Caenorhabditis elegans: one gene and its partners. The protein of the gene in region 3 interacts with the protein of the main gene of each other region in a pairwise test. Each region holds a gene or a part of one and is shown on either strand. Other genes may lie near its edges.

What was found. Proteins that work in one complex are often made in the same cells at the same time.
Region 1: the proteins of siah-1 (region 3) and mrpl-18 interact in a two-hybrid assay, tested with the Caenorhabditis elegans proteins (one large-scale study listed by BioGRID).
Region 2: the proteins of siah-1 (region 3) and nhr-19 interact in a two-hybrid assay, tested with the Caenorhabditis elegans proteins (one large-scale study listed by BioGRID).

What each region holds. Positions count from the first base shown.
Region 1 is NC_003281.10:8,143,155-8,146,524, reverse strand, and holds mrpl-18 (Large ribosomal subunit protein uL18m), read right to left. Parts: upstream 1,511-3,370; 5' UTR 1,508-1,510; coding exon 1,380-1,507; intron 1,332-1,379; coding exon 1,097-1,331; intron 820-1,096; coding exon 670-819; 3' UTR 551-669; downstream 1-550. Other genes in the region: phka-1 (Phosphorylase b kinase regulatory subunit), read left to right, coding at 1,912-2,032, 2,077-2,200, 2,247-2,541, 2,597-2,818, 2,864-3,022.
Region 2 is NC_003280.10:9,599,477-9,607,230, forward strand, and holds the start of nhr-19 (Nuclear hormone receptor family member nhr-19), read right to left. Parts: upstream 6,051-7,754; 5' UTR 6,000-6,050; intron 5,773-5,999; 5' UTR 5,767-5,772; coding exon 5,670-5,766; intron 1,457-5,669; coding exon 1,331-1,456; intron 901-1,330; coding exon 807-900; intron 754-806; coding exon 626-753; intron 476-625; coding exon 319-475; intron 266-318; coding exon 187-265; intron 116-186; coding exon 1-115. UniProt on the Caenorhabditis elegans protein: Orphan nuclear receptor.
Region 3 is NC_003282.8:3,742,122-3,747,901, reverse strand, and holds siah-1 (E3 ubiquitin-protein ligase siah-1), read right to left. Parts: upstream 3,855-5,780; 5' UTR 3,766-3,854; coding exon 3,579-3,765; intron 2,784-3,578; coding exon 2,622-2,783; intron 2,569-2,621; coding exon 2,335-2,568; intron 2,079-2,334; coding exon 1,503-2,078; intron 935-1,502; coding exon 880-934; intron 735-879; coding exon 689-734; 3' UTR 551-688; downstream 1-550.

The sequences.
Region 1 (3,370 bases), on a different chromosome or scaffold from region 3:
TTTTCAGGAATGTCACCAACTTCAATTTTGGTGACGTCGAAAATTTAAGTCCTGAAATTTAAATCCATATGCATAAAACATGGAGCTCTACATACAACACCAGATAGTCAGAACTACATTTGTTTCAATGCCTCTAAGGAGTTAAAAAAGTACGCTCAAAAACTCTAAAAATAAAGATTTTCTAAACTCAAAAAAAGGTGCTCAAAAGAACCCAAATGGGAGAAAACCGGGGGTGTTGTCAGATCGAATCCCCTGATATCTCGTCCATCCATTTTCGTCTCTGCTCGCCGAGCACCCATGAATATTACAAGGAGGGTGCGGGGAATTGGTGGTGGTGGTGGTGGCCTCCTTTCATCACATCATTCGTCATTTCACCAAAACGATGCATCGAAGAATGTTTGATGTATGTCCGTTTGCAGTCCGAAGCTTGAGAAGGCGGGATTAAAAAATCTCGAAGTTAAAACAAAAAGGCAAAAAACTTCTAGTACTTACGACGCTCAAGGGGGTGATTGTGAATAGAGTTCTAAATTGTTCAAAGTCAGAGAAAAGTTTTTTTTTTCACTCTAATAAAAGTTGAAAGAGACGAAACAAGAACAAGGGAGAGAACAAAACAATTGAAGGTCATAAACTATTTCTACAATAAAAACGTTTTTTAGAAGTGCAGGATAATTATAGCTCGTCGAGTTTATCCTGACGTGTTGGCTTCTGTGGGTACCTCTTCCATGTGAATGTTTTGTCTGTCTCATAGGAATGTTCCACGTGGGCCGGTTCTTTTAGTGTGAGACCTTCCTCTTCCAGAGCTTTGAAGAAGTGTGTTTGCTGAAAAATAATTGTTGTTGAATGCAAACAGCAAAAAATAATTTTTGCTTCCTGGTACACATCTTTTCATAGAAAGTTACGGATTTTTGAAAATTAATTCGAGTAATAAGGTAGACAAATTAGCTTTTAATAACAACCTAAAATCTGTCACTATTCGTTTTTCGAAACATTTCAAGTTTTTAAAGTTATTTTCGACAAAAACCAATAGAGAAGTTAATTTTAAATTTATCAGGACCTCAGTATCCGTATTATAAAATTGATTATTTGAAACACTAACATGTTGGCTCTTCTCGATAGCTTCTTTAGTTGCTCCAGGCATAGCAAAGTGAATTCCAGATTGAAGACAACGAAGGGCCAAAACTCGTCCAATATTCAATGCAGCAGATGTATCAGTTTTACTGTATAGCTGACTGGCAATTGAAGGTTCTTTTGTTGAAGCACTGATTACAACTCCATCTTGATAATGTACAAGGCGGCCTTCACGATGGGATTTTCCTTCCACAAGCTCTACTCTGCAAACAAATTACATAAAATTTTTTATTTTAGAACAGAAAACTTACTTATAAATGTAACTTCGAGCAGCACGGTCCTTTTCAAATTGATAACCTGTGTTCGGCGCTTGTCTTCCCATAAGTTCATTGTTCCGTGGATTTCGATTCACAAACCCTCTGGCAAATCGAGCAGCCATTCTGTTAAATAATAGAGCATATTGATATATTGGTTTAATGAATAAAAAACAAGGATAAAACAACACTTTGTTAGATAATGGATCGATAACTTAAATATAAAACTCAAATGAAAAAAGACGGTAAATCAATATTTTTAGTCAAGAAATTTGTTTTAAAACAAAAAAAGTGTTTTTTTTTTAACTTTTTTCTCAAAAACTGAGATGGCCTAGATTTGAGAACTATGGAAAACCAGGCCGCGCTGTGTGTACTCCTCTCGGACAGAGCCAATACTCACGCGCACATTTTTGTTCACCCACATTTTCTTTCTTTTACTCTCACGAAGTCTTGTTTCTGTTGTGGAAATTTAATTTATTGGTTTGTAACACTTTATTTAAATTTTCGTTCCAGAAAAAAATCGGAGAAAATGCGATCCCGGAGCGGCTCCGGGGTCCGTCTCGACCGCATTCTGTTCATGGTGGAGCAAACCATTTGCAGTCATCAAAACCCCATAACAGCATTATTTGCCAATCAGAAAGATTTTCCAGGTATTGAAGAAAACAAATTGAATCGATGAAATTGTTATTTTCAGGTCATGCTTGGGTTCGAGATAATGTTTACATCGCACAAGCATTATGGGCTCTTTATCGAGCTTATATGAAATGCGCCGATTTTGACGAAGATCTCACAAAAGCAAAGGAATTAGGATTCACATGGTAACAGATTATAAAACTCAAAAAACTACATTGGAGGGTGTTTCAGTGTGAAAATGATGCAGTCGATATTGGAATGTTTAATGCGACAAGCCGAGAAAGTCGAACTGTTCAAAAAATATCAGCGGCCTCTTGATGCTCTACACTCAAAGTTTGCTGTCGGAACAAAGGGAACAGTTTGTGGTGATGCTGATTGGGGACATCTTCAAATGGATGCAATCTCACTTTATCTTCTCACCCTCGCTCAAATTACAGCTTCTGGTCTACAAGTAGTCCGAAACTTCGATGAAGTTGCATTTATACAAAATCTGGTTTATTATATTGAAACCGGATACCGAACTCCAGTATGTTTCCCGAAAACCTTTAAAAATAAAATAATTAAAATTTCCAATTATTCAGGATTATGGTGTATGGGAGCGTGGAGACAAAACAAATCAAGGAATTCGAGAATTGAATGCATCATCGATCGGAATGGTTAAAGCTGCATTGCAAGCACTTAACGATGTCGGTGATCTTTTTGTTGATGGTTCAAGAGGATCAGTTGTTCACGTACTTCCCGATGAAATAGAACAATGCTCCGCTGTTCTCTCTAGTATGCTTCCAAGAGAATCATTTAGTAAAGTAGGGTAAATCTGTCAGAAATTCCTGAACAAATAAAACATTTAGGAAACTGATGCTGCACTTCTTGGAATAATCAGTTATCCAGCATTCTGTGTTGAAGATCCAGAACTCGTTTCACAGACAAGGGAAACTATCACTCAACGATTGCTTGGAAAATATGGATGTCGTAGATTCATGCGTGACGGGTATAAAACTGTATTAGAGGTTAGAATTATAATTTTTGAACTATTAAAGCAAGCCTAAAAAGTTTCCTTCCGTACGGTTGTGCATCACATTACAAAAAAAGTGTCATCGAATTTTTTCCATTTTTTCAGAGAAAAGCGAAAAACAAAAAAAAATTAAATTAACAATAATATTCAAGTTTTCAAAAATCAAATTTCATTTATGTTGAGAAAAAAAGTTTTCTTCTAAAATGAAGAAAATTTGCCAGCTTTTTCGATTACTCTGAAAATGGAAAAACGATCAATTCCCTTTTTTTGTGAAAATTGTTTTAAAAAAATTATTGTAAATGTAAGTGAGAAATCGGAAAACCAACACCCTTGATTCATAAAC
Region 2 (7,754 bases), on a different chromosome or scaffold from region 3:
GTGTGGATACAGAGATATCGGTTCCAAGCATCACCATCATTTTATGATCTCCTCCGTTTGGGGATGTTCCTCCTGGGACGTATCGAGATGTTGATGGTCCTGATGTGTCGGTAATCTGGAAATATTAAAGTTCATACAACATACAATATACAGAGTGCTTGAAAAAGCTTTTTAGAAAATCCTCACACTCATGCATCCCTGCTTTGCCAGCACTGCGAGATCAACTGCTGCTTGTCTAGAGGCGACCACTTCCAGTTTCTTTTTTCTATAATATTTTTTTAATGTAACTTGAGTAAAAAAAAAATTACAAAAACCTACCGTAACCTATCATCAATAGTCGTGAGATTTTCCAAAAGTGTCAAATACTGTGACTTATCCTCGACTTGTGGTCTTGGAGGTGTTGGTGTGGATGTTGAGCAGCTTGGGCGGGAACGGATACGACGGCATCCGATGAGATCTCGACGGGGTTGAAGGGCTGGAATTAGGATGTTAATATGAAAAATCGTCAACGGTCTTGTTAAAACACTTTTGGAGTAATTTTACAGATCTCTAAAATAGTAAAAGTAAACCAAAAAATTTCAGATCTACTTTTTTCCTTCAAACAAAAAAAATCGAAAATTCTTACCTTCCTTGCTCATTCCACTTTCTAAGCACTTCCTATATCGACAAGCTCTGCAAGCTTTTCTTGCCATTGTAGTGACGTCACATGGCTTTTCCCGTTTGCACTCTGTATCCTGACGCTGGACAACTGCTCTGGAATATGTTGAGGTTATTGATGAGTTTTTTTGAACCTAGGGATCTTGTACCTTCGAAAAAACGTTTTGCATCCAAGGCACGCCACGATTCCATAATGTTTTCCAGTTGAAGGTTCTCCACATATTAAACATTGGCCAATTACACCTGAAATGTTTTTGGATATTTAGATTGAATTTTAAATATTTCGGTTTCAAATAAGAACTCATTATTCATACATTTCACTTTTTTGGGTGATCTATGCTCAAAAACAGTAAACTTTTACTATCAGTTGTTGGAAGCAACTGTGTGCTTGAGCACATGGTTTCACTGATTTTATTGATAAACATTTTTGCTGAAACTGGCAAAAATAGTGAAAGCGGAAAGCAAAAGTTATAGAGTTGGGGATCAAAAAATTTTGATTACTGTAACTTGGCATTTGCTAGAAATTTTCGAACTCTTCTCTAGTGAGATCTTCTAGCATCTAGACCTGCAAACTGGCAAAATAAAAATTACAATATTTGGATTCGATATTTTTCGGTAAACTTAAATATGAGGTTTTTTGAAATGTTGCAATTTTTTAACAAAAGAATCTCACCCTTTTCCGGCTTCACACTTGGCATTTGTGGTGCAATTGCGGCTATACTCGGTACACTTATCACTGATGTGAATGTGGGCATTTTTTGAAATGCCGTAGACATTGACTGGCGAGGCGCCGTTATTTCTGGAAATTTTGGAATTATAGAAAGAGTTTAGACAAAGTTGTTTCAAAATTGACGATATAACTTAACAGTTGAAAATTTCTAATAGAATTTCTAGTGTTATCCGAGGTTTCGGATATATGCTTAAATTTATAAAACAAGTATATTTATATCAAACAATTCAAATCTGATATTCTAACCAGGATGTCCAAAATCAACGGATTACTTTATGGTAACAAGGATGGGAAAATGTTCAATTATCAGCGGTCACGAGGCGAGTGAAATGAAACGACGTCGTTGATGAAAGGAGGAGGACGGAAAAAGATACAAAATGAAATGAATGATAGATAGTGAATTGAGAGAGAGATTCCAAGAAACAGAGAAATATCATCGTGACAATCTCTGATACACATACACACACGCACGCCACAAACACGTTGGACGAAGGACGTACGGGAAGACGATAGGCGTGCGATGGCCGAGAGAGAGGTAAGCAAAAAATTAAATTGGAAAAATTACTGGAAGTATGGGAAAAATTCATCTGGTAGAGAACCATGATATTTTCAGACCAAGAAGTTTAGACTCAACTGTGAATGTTTCATGCCTATTTAGCACGCCTAACTCGCCTCAAAGGCATCCTACAACCGCTGTTTTGTGTATTTTAATTGACTTTAGTAATCATATTCATACCAATAAATGGGACGTTGTTTTAGACATTTTACGGTTACCGTGTAGGCGAGAAGTAAAGTATTTTATGCCTAATTGGAGGTCAGGATTCTGATCAAATCCTGTTAAACTCCCCCGATCACTCTACCTGAAAAATTTTTGCAACTACCACCACTAACACAAAATGTGATAATGTGTTTTGAAAATGTTGTTGAGAAGAAGTAGAAAATAGAAAAAAGTGTGTTGTCACGTGTGTGTGGTTCTCGCAGCAGGAAGGTTAGTTGACACCACCATCACCACGAGGAAGATCTTTGGGGTCTCTCATGAGTGATCGGTGGAGATGGAATTGGGAGAAGCAATTTGAGGGAAAGTCAAATGAAAACATTTTTATTTTTGATTTACAGATAAGAAGACACTTTGAATATGATTGTTGTAATTGATAAAGCTTCAGTAATTCAGGTTTGTTTTTTTTTCAACTAGTCTTAAGACGGAAGTTCAAAACTGTAGTTGAGTTTACTGGAAGGGAAACTGGAATATTATAGACGTTGACACAAAACCGCTTACCTGCCTACCTATAAGGCCTGAGTTCTGAATGGTGACCTATTGCATGTGAAGTTGGTCTACATTGTACAAACGACAATACCGAAGCTAACCCTACAATGTTGGATGTAGGCGGTAGGTAGGCACTTAGGCAGGCAGGCTTGGTGACACTACTATTCCAAATGGAAGCTTTAGAGGATCATAGTAAAAAATAAATAAAGTCATTTATAATATGAAAAATGGAACCTGGGCATTATACATAAATTGAAATTCAGAGTTATATTATTTTATGAAGGCAGGGCTAATTTTAATATTTTTTTTTTAATTTTAATATTTTCCATTCCAATTGTGTGAGATAGGATGCACTTAAATTGAGAACTAAAATTTACCACCAATTTTCAATTTTTAGTAAATTTTTGGTGAGGTGAAGGATACGTTTAAAACTACATTCTCTTTTACTTGGAAAATGCCTATTTTGCAAAGCAGTCAGGAATAATTATCTCTCATTGGGATTTGAACAAAGTTTTAATTATTTTGCCAGACACCTAATCTCAAAGTTAAAACCGTGTTTCATGTTTTCTTGGTCAAAACGAGGACATCTCAGTCTTTTCTGTAAAATACCGCAAAAATGACATCACGAGGTCAGAGATTATGAAAGAGAAAAGTAATTGAGCGGGGGAAAGGGAATGAAACAAAAAGTTAACAAATATATATGACACCGAATTTCAGTTTTCAAGTTGCATTCCAGAAATTCATTGTTTATGGCAGATGCAACTTTTTTAAAAATTTCAAAAAATATATTGTTTGAATTTTTGTTATGTTTGAATACCAACTACCTTCGAAGCAAAAAGAAAGACAGAAAAACAACATTTTCCGTGTTAAGGTAAAAGGGCACAAGTTTGTATCTTTGTAGTCCGCAAATTGTACTATGAAATGCCGAAAACGTGTTCAATTTTTAAAGCAGGAAGCAATCACTCTTCAAAGTTTATCTAGGTTCCCACGACCAAAAAGATCTGGTAAAAAATTATTGGCATCTGGTTTATTTTATAGTTTGAACTTTTGTTTCAATCAGAAAAAAACGGGGAAATGCTGTAACTCTATGTATAATTTCAAAGTACACAGTGGACTTCCAAATTTTTTTAATTATATATTGCAGGTTGCAAAAAGGTGTTTTTTCTTTACAAAACTCACACGAGATAAAGAGTATTTTTTAACAAAAAGCTTTTTCAACCTTAAAAAAATATTAGAAAAAAAACAATAAATTTCCACGAACCCCCACATTAAACAAAAAATTCAAAAAAAAAGTAAAATTGCACACGGGAATTGACATCAATCTCTGGTGTATTGTGTTGCTAGAGTTGCATCGCCATGGGGTAGAAAACGCAAAAAATGGAGGAGCGAATGGAAAGTAAGAGAGGAAGAGAGAAAGCACGCGCTTTCTATCTCACTCTCTGCGTTTCTCTTATTCCCCGTCACTATTTCATTTTTGAGAGAAAAGACAGTGTACTTGGAGTTGTAGGGCACTTGGTGACACATACGCAGACGACTAAAGGAAATAAACACATTGATATCACGTGGGGTTGAAGATCAGTCAACGTTTTTTATGAGGACGAATATTTACAACCTTACATGGATTTTGGCGGTTTTCGACCGCTTGTAAATTACGAATTTCACAATTTTTGGGAACCGTTTTAGAGGGTTTTTATAGAAAATAGCATTTGAAAACAAAGTTGAAACTGAAGTTATATATGTTTTGTTTGTACCAATTTTGTATAAATTACAATTTTTGTAAAGTCTCGGAGCGCTTTCCAATATTTTTGTAGGAACCAAAACTGATGGAAATAGTCTAGTTTGTTCCGAATCACATTTCACTGCAAGTGGTTTGAATATCAAGAAATCAACGCAAACGAGGCTCAAAAATCTGCAAACCACCTCTATCCTTGTAGAATTTTATTTGTCGCTACACCGTTCTCCAAAAAAATTTGAACGAGGTATTTACGGTATTGAAATTTGTAGTTTCGCTGGAATTGAATTTTACAATTTATCAATTTTAATTTTCCCCCGGTTTCACATTTTATCGCCTCATCACTTTATCATCCTAATAACCAAAGAACCGCCCATCTTCACTCTCAACTATTCGTGAGCTTTGGTTCTTCCTTGTGTCCCACCTCCCTCCTCACCAGCCAGCAACTTTAAATACACAACACAAAATATGACAGAGATCACTATGTATTACCATACGAAACCAAAAAACGTGTTCTTCGCATTGGTGTTTGGGCAGAAAATGGAGATTATGGCTTGATGCGGTCTTGTCCCCGATTCTCAAGAATTCTCCTTACAATCGGAATACTAACTAGACTATGGTTCGGTAAAAAAAGAATCTGGTAATTTTCAAATATCTCTATCCGCGATCTTGAGAAAAACCATAAATAGAATATTTCCACAGAAGACCAGTCACACTTTTTTCATGAACACCAGGTTTTCTGAAAACATTAAAAATCATATAAAATGATAGAATGCCATGATAGAACATTACGAAAATTGCTGGAGTTTTGAAAACATGTCTGCCAAAATTTTGGCAAGTTGTCAAATTCTTGAATTCTGAATGAATCTACTTACATTAATTCAGAGCACAAAATTTAAAATATTACTGACTCAAAAGTCATCAAGCTTTCACTATTATCAGTTACAAGAAAAGGGAAAAGTGTGCTTGAGCACATGGTTTTTTTGGTTTTGATGATAAATAACTTGGGTTTGAAGCGGGAAAAATGGAAAGTTTGAATGTGTTTGTAGTTAGATTGGTCAGATTACGGTACTAGCAGTATATTTTTTTCATTGCAACATGGCCTCAAAAAGGAATCAAATTGGCAATCAGCAGCAACTTTTCAGTCAACTCAATTTATTTTAAAGTGTCAATTGGAAAAGTTGCCAATATTGGCAAAAAAGGTACAGAATATAAAGAAAAAGACACAAACAACGGTGCGAAATGCTTTAAACGACGCGGGAAATCATTGAAAATGGAAAACTCACCACTTTCCAGTTTTGGAAACTGTGATGTAGCTGCTCCAAAATTGGCAATATTGAGACCTGCCAGAAAAGTTGGCATTGTTTGAAATACAGTAGTCATTATTATCTGGAAAATGTTTTCAAGAAATTGGGTGAAGCATCTGGATGAAAAGGCGTTAGAGCAACAAAAAAAGACAATTTCAGGAAAAAGCTAACAATTCTAAACAGAGCATAATTGTTTCCAACTCCAGTTTCTAGGTTTTCCATATACATTTACTTCATCAACTAGAGCCTAGTAACCACACATTTCTCCTCAATCAAGTGTTTCATTGAATTTTTCACATCAAAACTCACAACTTCCCACGTTGTCGTACGTAACTCAACTCAAGGTAAACACGCGTGGTTAAGGCAAACAAACAATTGTAATGAAGGGAGGAGATTGAGAGACAAAATTGATCTTTACCCGCCAAACAAAAAGATACACTTATGTGTGTACTTTGGCACTCGACAAAATTCCATTCTATGTGAGGGGATCAATGTTTGCAACACAAAGGCCCGGTTGGACACCTCTCCTTATTGCATACCGCTACATTACTTTGAAAGGTTTTAACTCGGTTTATTTTGAATATACCAAAAAATGATCAACTGTAAAACAATAGAAAAATAAATAACAAATGTTTTGCCAGTTGACAACTTTTGGATAACTTAAACGACGGCTGAGATATTAGTTGTCAAAGTTGAACACCACTAGTAAAATAATTACGGTAAAGTGACACCACATTTCTTCTATACAATATTTTTAAATTTTTTGTTGTTGCACAATCAGATTAGCATTTCTATCTGATCAAACATTTCTAGCAACCTCTTTATTCTTAAATTTTACTTTATAATTTTATTTCGGTCTGCCCAAATGTCTGTATGCCTATTGCAAGAAAAAATATCGCAACAGCTACAAACAACGTGTTCTCATCTCCAAATGTGTTATCGTCATGATCTATAAGTAGAATACGATGGAGGATAATCAATCTTTTTAGCAAAAAAAAGAAAACTCTCCGCGTGACTATGAACCGATTGAACCATTTATCTTGCAATCCATCTTCGCTACACTTATCAATTGATATCTGTTGGAATAAGAAACTGATGGTGACAATAAAAATTTCAAATTTCTAGAGGCAGGGATTAGAGGAACAATTTTTTAATTTTTAAGGAGCTAGTTGTAAGCGAAATTGGCTTTATGAGAACTTGTCTTTTTTTAATGAAAAATGCCTCAATTTGTCGAAAACTTTGACTCAAGCAAGTTTTCTGTGCTATTTTTTAGGTTATTGAACAATTGGAAATACTGCAATATTTTCAGTTAATAAAGGCTCTAGCAGTACTTTTAAAAAGCGACGAAACAAGAATTCTAGACGATAACAGAAAAAAAAACTGGAAAGAACTACTACCACGAGAATTCTCCACGAGTGTTATCTATTTTCAGAACATTTCGAAATGCAGTCTGCCAATCCCGCCTCCCGATTCAAAATTCTGTCACGTGTGTTTACAGAACGATTATTTACGGAAAAAGCGAGTAAAAACAAGGTTAGGTGTACTAATCCTCCTGAAAAAACCCACCAAAAAACTGAAAGTTGCAAAATGTATTCTAATTCTCGCAGTCTCTCTAGCTATTTTCAGTGGTTACGTGCAATTTTGCAATCTTTTTTTCGTTTGTTGTTGGGTTCCACTGTTCTTTTATTCTCTCGTTTTCTTCAGTTTTCAGCTTTTTTTGTGTTGTTTCTTTTTTTCAAAATGTGTGCTGACCACGTGACGTTGTTGGACATGAGGATTCTATAGACAAAGAACAAAAACAGTACGCACGAATGTAGGCGCACGATGAGTGTAGGCCGCCTTTCATTTTGCGCCTGACAATGCAAAAAGTAAGATTGAGCTCATTTTTAATTTAAATTCTTTCAGCATATCTTTTTTAAAATTGGGAAAATTATGGAATACCTCATAATTGGAGGGACTTTTAACTGATACAAATATGTGGCTCTTTAATTAATTTGAATGTTTTTTATTTTATTTTAGTACTGAGTAATCTCCTCAAATTATACTCGAAAACTTGATGAAATT
Region 3 (5,780 bases):
TCAAAATTATAAAAATTATTTAAAATTTTATTTGCACTCTGTTATAAATTTTGAAAATACTCAAATTGTGAAAAATTGTTATGATGCAAATTTTCCAAATAAAAAAAACTGAGAATGAATTAAATTTCTTTAATTTTGAAAAAAAAAATGTTTTTTCTCCAAAATTTCAATTAACCATCAAAAAAAGTTCAAAAAAATTTATTCAACATGATTAAAGTATAAAATCGTAAAAATTGGAAAGAAAAATGTGGCTATTACGCAAGTGGTTCAAGAGACAAAAAAAAAGTACAAAATATCGATAAAACAACACAGGAAAGCTCGTAAAATGTGTAAATCGAGTGTAAAATACAAAAAAAAAGAAATTTATAAACCAAAAAAAATTGAAAAAAAATCCGTAGTGTTCTGTGGTTATCCATTCCGAGTCATGGAAGGATATGCTATACAGATAATTAATATTTTGAGGCGGGGGCGGGGGGGGGGGGGGGGTATTCTACATTATAAAAAAAAATTAGAACAAAATATAGTTTTTTTTTCAGAAAAAAAATCCAAAAAAAAAATTTTTTTAATTTTTAAATTTTTTAAAATGTTCTGATTGTAAGGGGATTTTCAACTGAATTTTTTAAGCTTTTCATCACATTTTTGAAGAAAAAAATCAAAAATAATTTTATTACGTTTACACTGTGCATATCTAGTCGTACTCGAGATCAGAATTTTCCAACTCATTTGGGTGGCGCCTGAAAAAAAATCAGTTATTAGTTTTTTTTTTTTTTAATTAAATAGATTAAAATTGGCTTATTGAAAAAATGTGTTTTTTTTGTAATTTTTAAATATTTTCAAACATTTAAACTTGAATTTAAAGTTTTTAAATACAATTCTCACCTCTGTGGAGTATCTATTCGGCTAATAGTGACGTTGATTCCAAGGTTTCCGTTTTCTGAAAAAAAAAGTTGATTTTTGTTGAGGGTAACTTTTAAAGTTTATATTCCGGAACTGACAAAAATTTTGCTACTAAAGGTCGATGCACCATATCTCGCCCAACTTTAAAAACTTTTCAAAAAAACCTCTGCGGATTTCGGTTTTTATTTTTATTTTTTAATAGACACTTTGTTAATATCTTCAAAAATTGACCGAGTTTATCAATCTTAGAAATTTTTGGTCGATGCACCATGTTCAAAGGAAACTTAATTTTTTTGGATTTCTGGTTCTATCGAAAAAGTTCCAACTCACAAAATATTTGTTCTCGTGTTTTATATAGTTTAGCGGTTACATTTTTGTTAGCATTCACACACTTAACCGGGGTATCGGCTGTTAAAACTATTTCGGTCGATGCACCATGATGCACTCAACTATTCCAGCTGTATCCCTTGTCTAACAAAGTTACCAAAAAAATTGTCAACTCACAAAAAAAGCTGTTTTTGCTCAGTTTTAACAAAAATTGAAAGCTCAGTTTTAACAAAAATTGGTAATTTCCGATTAAGATAAAAGCAAAAGTCAATGCTCACCTGCAAAAAGCTGTGCAGCATTTGAATCGAACGCTAGGCAATCCGACTGTTGAATGGCCACTACCACCCCCTCGTGGATGCTTCTCGGTGTGGCTTCCCATGACATTCTCCGGCGGCTCGCCGATAGCTCAAGCCGGTACACAAAGTTATCAGCTTCCTTCTTCGAGCCAATCAGCTGAACGACTGCGTAGAACATCTGAGTTGGCTGAGCTGGATCGTACTTTTCCTGCTTCTCGAGCACCAACATAAAATTATAGTCAAAGCAGCTCTGCATCATAACCCAGTCAACTGCTCCAGGAAGATTGATGTCAGTGGCCAGGAAGACGATATCCTCGCCTTGAAGCGTCGTGATGCTCTTGTGGATCTTCTTCAAATGCTCCATCACATCCGACAAGCCTCCCTGCCACTTGCAGCTAGCTCCAGGGCACGGGCAGCAGTAGGGTCGGAATTCGCAGAGCTCCTCGTGCTCGGTCTTATCAGCGTGATGGAAGTTCAGGGGGCAGCCGGACGTAGAGAATTTGCATGGAAAGCGGACGGTGTTGGCGATCTTCTCGAGGCCCAGGTTGCGGACAGAAGCTGTAAGATTGAAGGTTTAGTCTTGAAATTTGAGATATACTCTGAAACTTTGAAGATCCGTAGATCCTTGATTCGTTAGCTACATTAGAGAAACAACACAGCTAAAATGCTTAGGCGCTCGACTGAGACAGATCGATCAACCAGAAAGGATCTTAGTCTTCTATCATATCAGCTCTGCTCAAGCTGTGGTAATTTTTTCAGCTTTGACTAAACTCTTCTAGTCACGCAATTTTCAAATTTCAACTTCAAAACTCACGAGTTGGACCCCGACAAGTCGGGCAGCACTGAAGCTTTGGTCTGCAGTTCGAGCAGACAAGATGTCCGGATGAGCACTGCATGTATGGTGGCAGCATGTACTCCAGGCATACCGGGCACTCAAACACCGACAAGATCTCTGCACTGCTGTCGTCGGTGGCTCCACCGCCGCCGATTGGAATATGTGGTGCGACGCTTTGGATTCCTTGCGCGGTCGTCGTTGTGTTGTGCGGTACTGGAAAATTTTACATTTTAGCGTTACAGTTCTGAAAATCAAGAAAAACTCACTACTTCCCGGGGGATTACTCTGAACTCTGGCCATCGTTTTGCCAAGCACTGCGGTTCCAGAGATTGTTGACACTGCAGACGGTGGCGATGCCGACATCCGAGGTGTCAATCCGATTTGACATTGCTGTTGTGTGATGCCTGGCGGGACCGGTGGAGGGTTGCCTGGAAAGTAAAATTTAATGGTGCTAGTTCTGGGCTCCAAGATATAGTTTCACACTTACTTCGCTCATTGAGCCAATTTTCAATACACTCAATAATAAGCGCATTCACTACGCAGCAGCAAGAACGCATGTGGGGGAAAATGCGATCATCATGAAGCGAGCGAGCTCTCCGAGAGAGTTTTCAGCAGGTATATAAAAACTAGGGAGGGGCTCCGAAACACCGCTTTACGATGCATATGTCGATTATAACACAGAGATAGAATAGCGAGTTTTCTCTCGGGGGTGGGAGTAAAGAGGAAATGTTGAGTGACTTTAATTGGTGTCGTTTTGGATGTGGGGGGGGGGACTAATGACTGGTGAGCACGCATGGTTGGAGAAAGCAGGGGATTTGGGCTCCGGCTTAAAGGTTTGGCTGGCTGAAGGTAGTGGTGTGTCGGAAAAATCACGTGGTGTCAGAAAAAACCCCTGCCATCACGGTTTGATCTACAAAAAACGCGGACTTTTTTTGCGTAAAACTTTCTTAAGCCAAATAAAATGAGAACTATGCGTCTCAACTCGTGCATTTTTTGTAGATCTACGTAGATCAAACCGAAATAGGACATTCTGGCACCAAGTGAAATGCTGAAACAGTGATCTTTTAATCATGTCTCAATTAATAATACTCAATAGAAATTCAAAAGCCGACTCTCTTGATTCCGTTGGACAATTAAGTCCTTTCTTTAATTTTGGGCCGTTTCTAAGTTTCGGGGATGAGCAGGCTTTCAAACAAGACTCAAAGTTTTCAAAAAAGTCTCACCATTTGAGTGATTAACCATATCTTCGACTAAAGAATTGCTAGTCTGATGTCTGGATAGATGATTCGCTTGCGGAGCCGAATCGCTACTATTATTATCGTCCTCCTCAAAGATGAGCTGTGTACGACGAAGAGACTCGATCACGTCCTGATAGTCTCCTCCTCCTCCACCACCGTTCCGATTACTCATCAGCGAAGGCAGTCGAGATGACGAGGACGACGATGTTGGAGGTGGTGGGTGGTTCGGTGTCTGCGGATGCCGCCGTCTTCCCGTCGTCTCTGTAATTGGTGAGTTGGTGATAACGAATTGTGAGTGTTTTGTTGTTGTCACGTGAGAAATAGTCGCTGGAGGTCAAATTGTGAGGAATTACGAAGAGAGTAAAGTTTTTAGAATAGGTTTGTTGAATCAGGAGTGGCACGGGGTCTCACATGGTCCCATTACGATTTGATCTACAAAAAATGCGGGAATTTTTCGCCCAAAAAATGTGACGTCAGCACATTGTTAACCATTTGAAATCAGTTGGGAACTCTTCGTCTCAACTCCCGCATAGTTTGTAGATCTACGTAGATCAAACCGCAATGAGCCACTTTGACACCACGTGGCAATTTTTTTCCGGCAAATTGCCGATTTGCCGTTTGCCGGAAATTTTTAGAGGGATTTTTTAATAAGACGGAAGCACTTGAAACAGTGTCATTTTGAAAGTTTTTTTTTCCCGTTTTCTTTAGATACATTCATTGAACTTGCTTACTTTTCAAAATAGATGTAGGAACATTCATAGGATGCGTACAATTTTGCCAATTTAAATTAAATTTCTAAAATTTCCAGAAAAAAATGTGGAAAACCACAATTTGCAGAAAAATGTTTGTGAAAATTTTTTGCCGGTTTGCAGTTTTGTCGGAAATGTTCATTTTCGGTAAATTACCGGGAAAGTTGTGCAAAAAAAACAACTGAGGCTCAAATTTTTTAATTAAAGATTTACTAGGAAATTTTGAAAATTTTATATTAAAATTTGAAAATAATCGCCTAAAATCAATGCAATCAAGAACAAAAGATGAGAGATGGGCTAGGAAAATCAATAAGATAAGTAAGGGATAAGGTCCGATTTTCATGAACTTGAATACCTAGTATAGATACTAGATTCAGTAAAACGTGATTGCAAACTATTTGAATAAGTGACTTTCTAAAAATGGAAATTTGAAACATTCAAAAAAAAATGTAATACATTCACAAAAATCACTGAAAAGTTAAATTATGGTTATCTTAAACGAAATAGTGATGAAATCCATGAAGAAAGTGGTAATTTTTTCGGGAAGTATCAATTTTAAGGTTCTATTGTCCACACAGACACTTTATAAATCAAGTCGCAAGCAGAGAACAACAACAAAATCTGGCAAAAGAAAACAACTTTACTATTCGCTTTTTTTTAGCTTTCTCTAAATAATATTTTCAAAACCTAACAAAAGGATTAAAACCCTCAAATTCGACGATTACTTTGCATAAATACACAATAGAAATACGAATAAGAGAGTGAATAAAACGAAGAAAAGAGGCGAAAGGAAGAAAAATATGAAATAAAACGCGTTCTGTGTGCGTACTCTCTCTCTCTCTTTCTCTCTTTCACATCTTTTCACCAACGAATGACTGACCGGGATAGTGTGGGTGGTGGAAGAGACGACAGAGAGACCGACGACGAGATGTGTGGGCTTGTAAGAGAGTCTCTGTGTTTCTCTACCAGCTGACATGCGAATGAGAATGAATCAAATCGATTTTTGAAGAGAGAGAGAGAGAGAGAGAGAGAGACGGTTGGAGGGAAGGGATGGTGAGAGCGATTTTATATGAAAGGCGTATCAGGCACCAATAACCTTTTTAAAGTAAAATTTCAAAAATTGATGGTCATGCACTGTTGGTCATATGGAAAGATCAGCTGTTAGGGTGACTGGTACCCGGGTCAGGTGCTTGTGCTCTCGGTGGTCGATGAGAGGCAGCATAGGGAATGTAGCAATAATAATAAAAAAATAAAGTGACGTTTTATTGAAATTCATATAAGGAAATGTAAGGAAATTATCTGAAGGAAATAATCTCAATAAGGCACACGATTATTTGTTGCTACAACTAGCATTTCAGTAGCATTGGAGATAGCTTTGCAAGCTTTAGGTATATTGTGTTGGTATCAGGCTGTCCCATATCGGTTTGATCTACAAAAA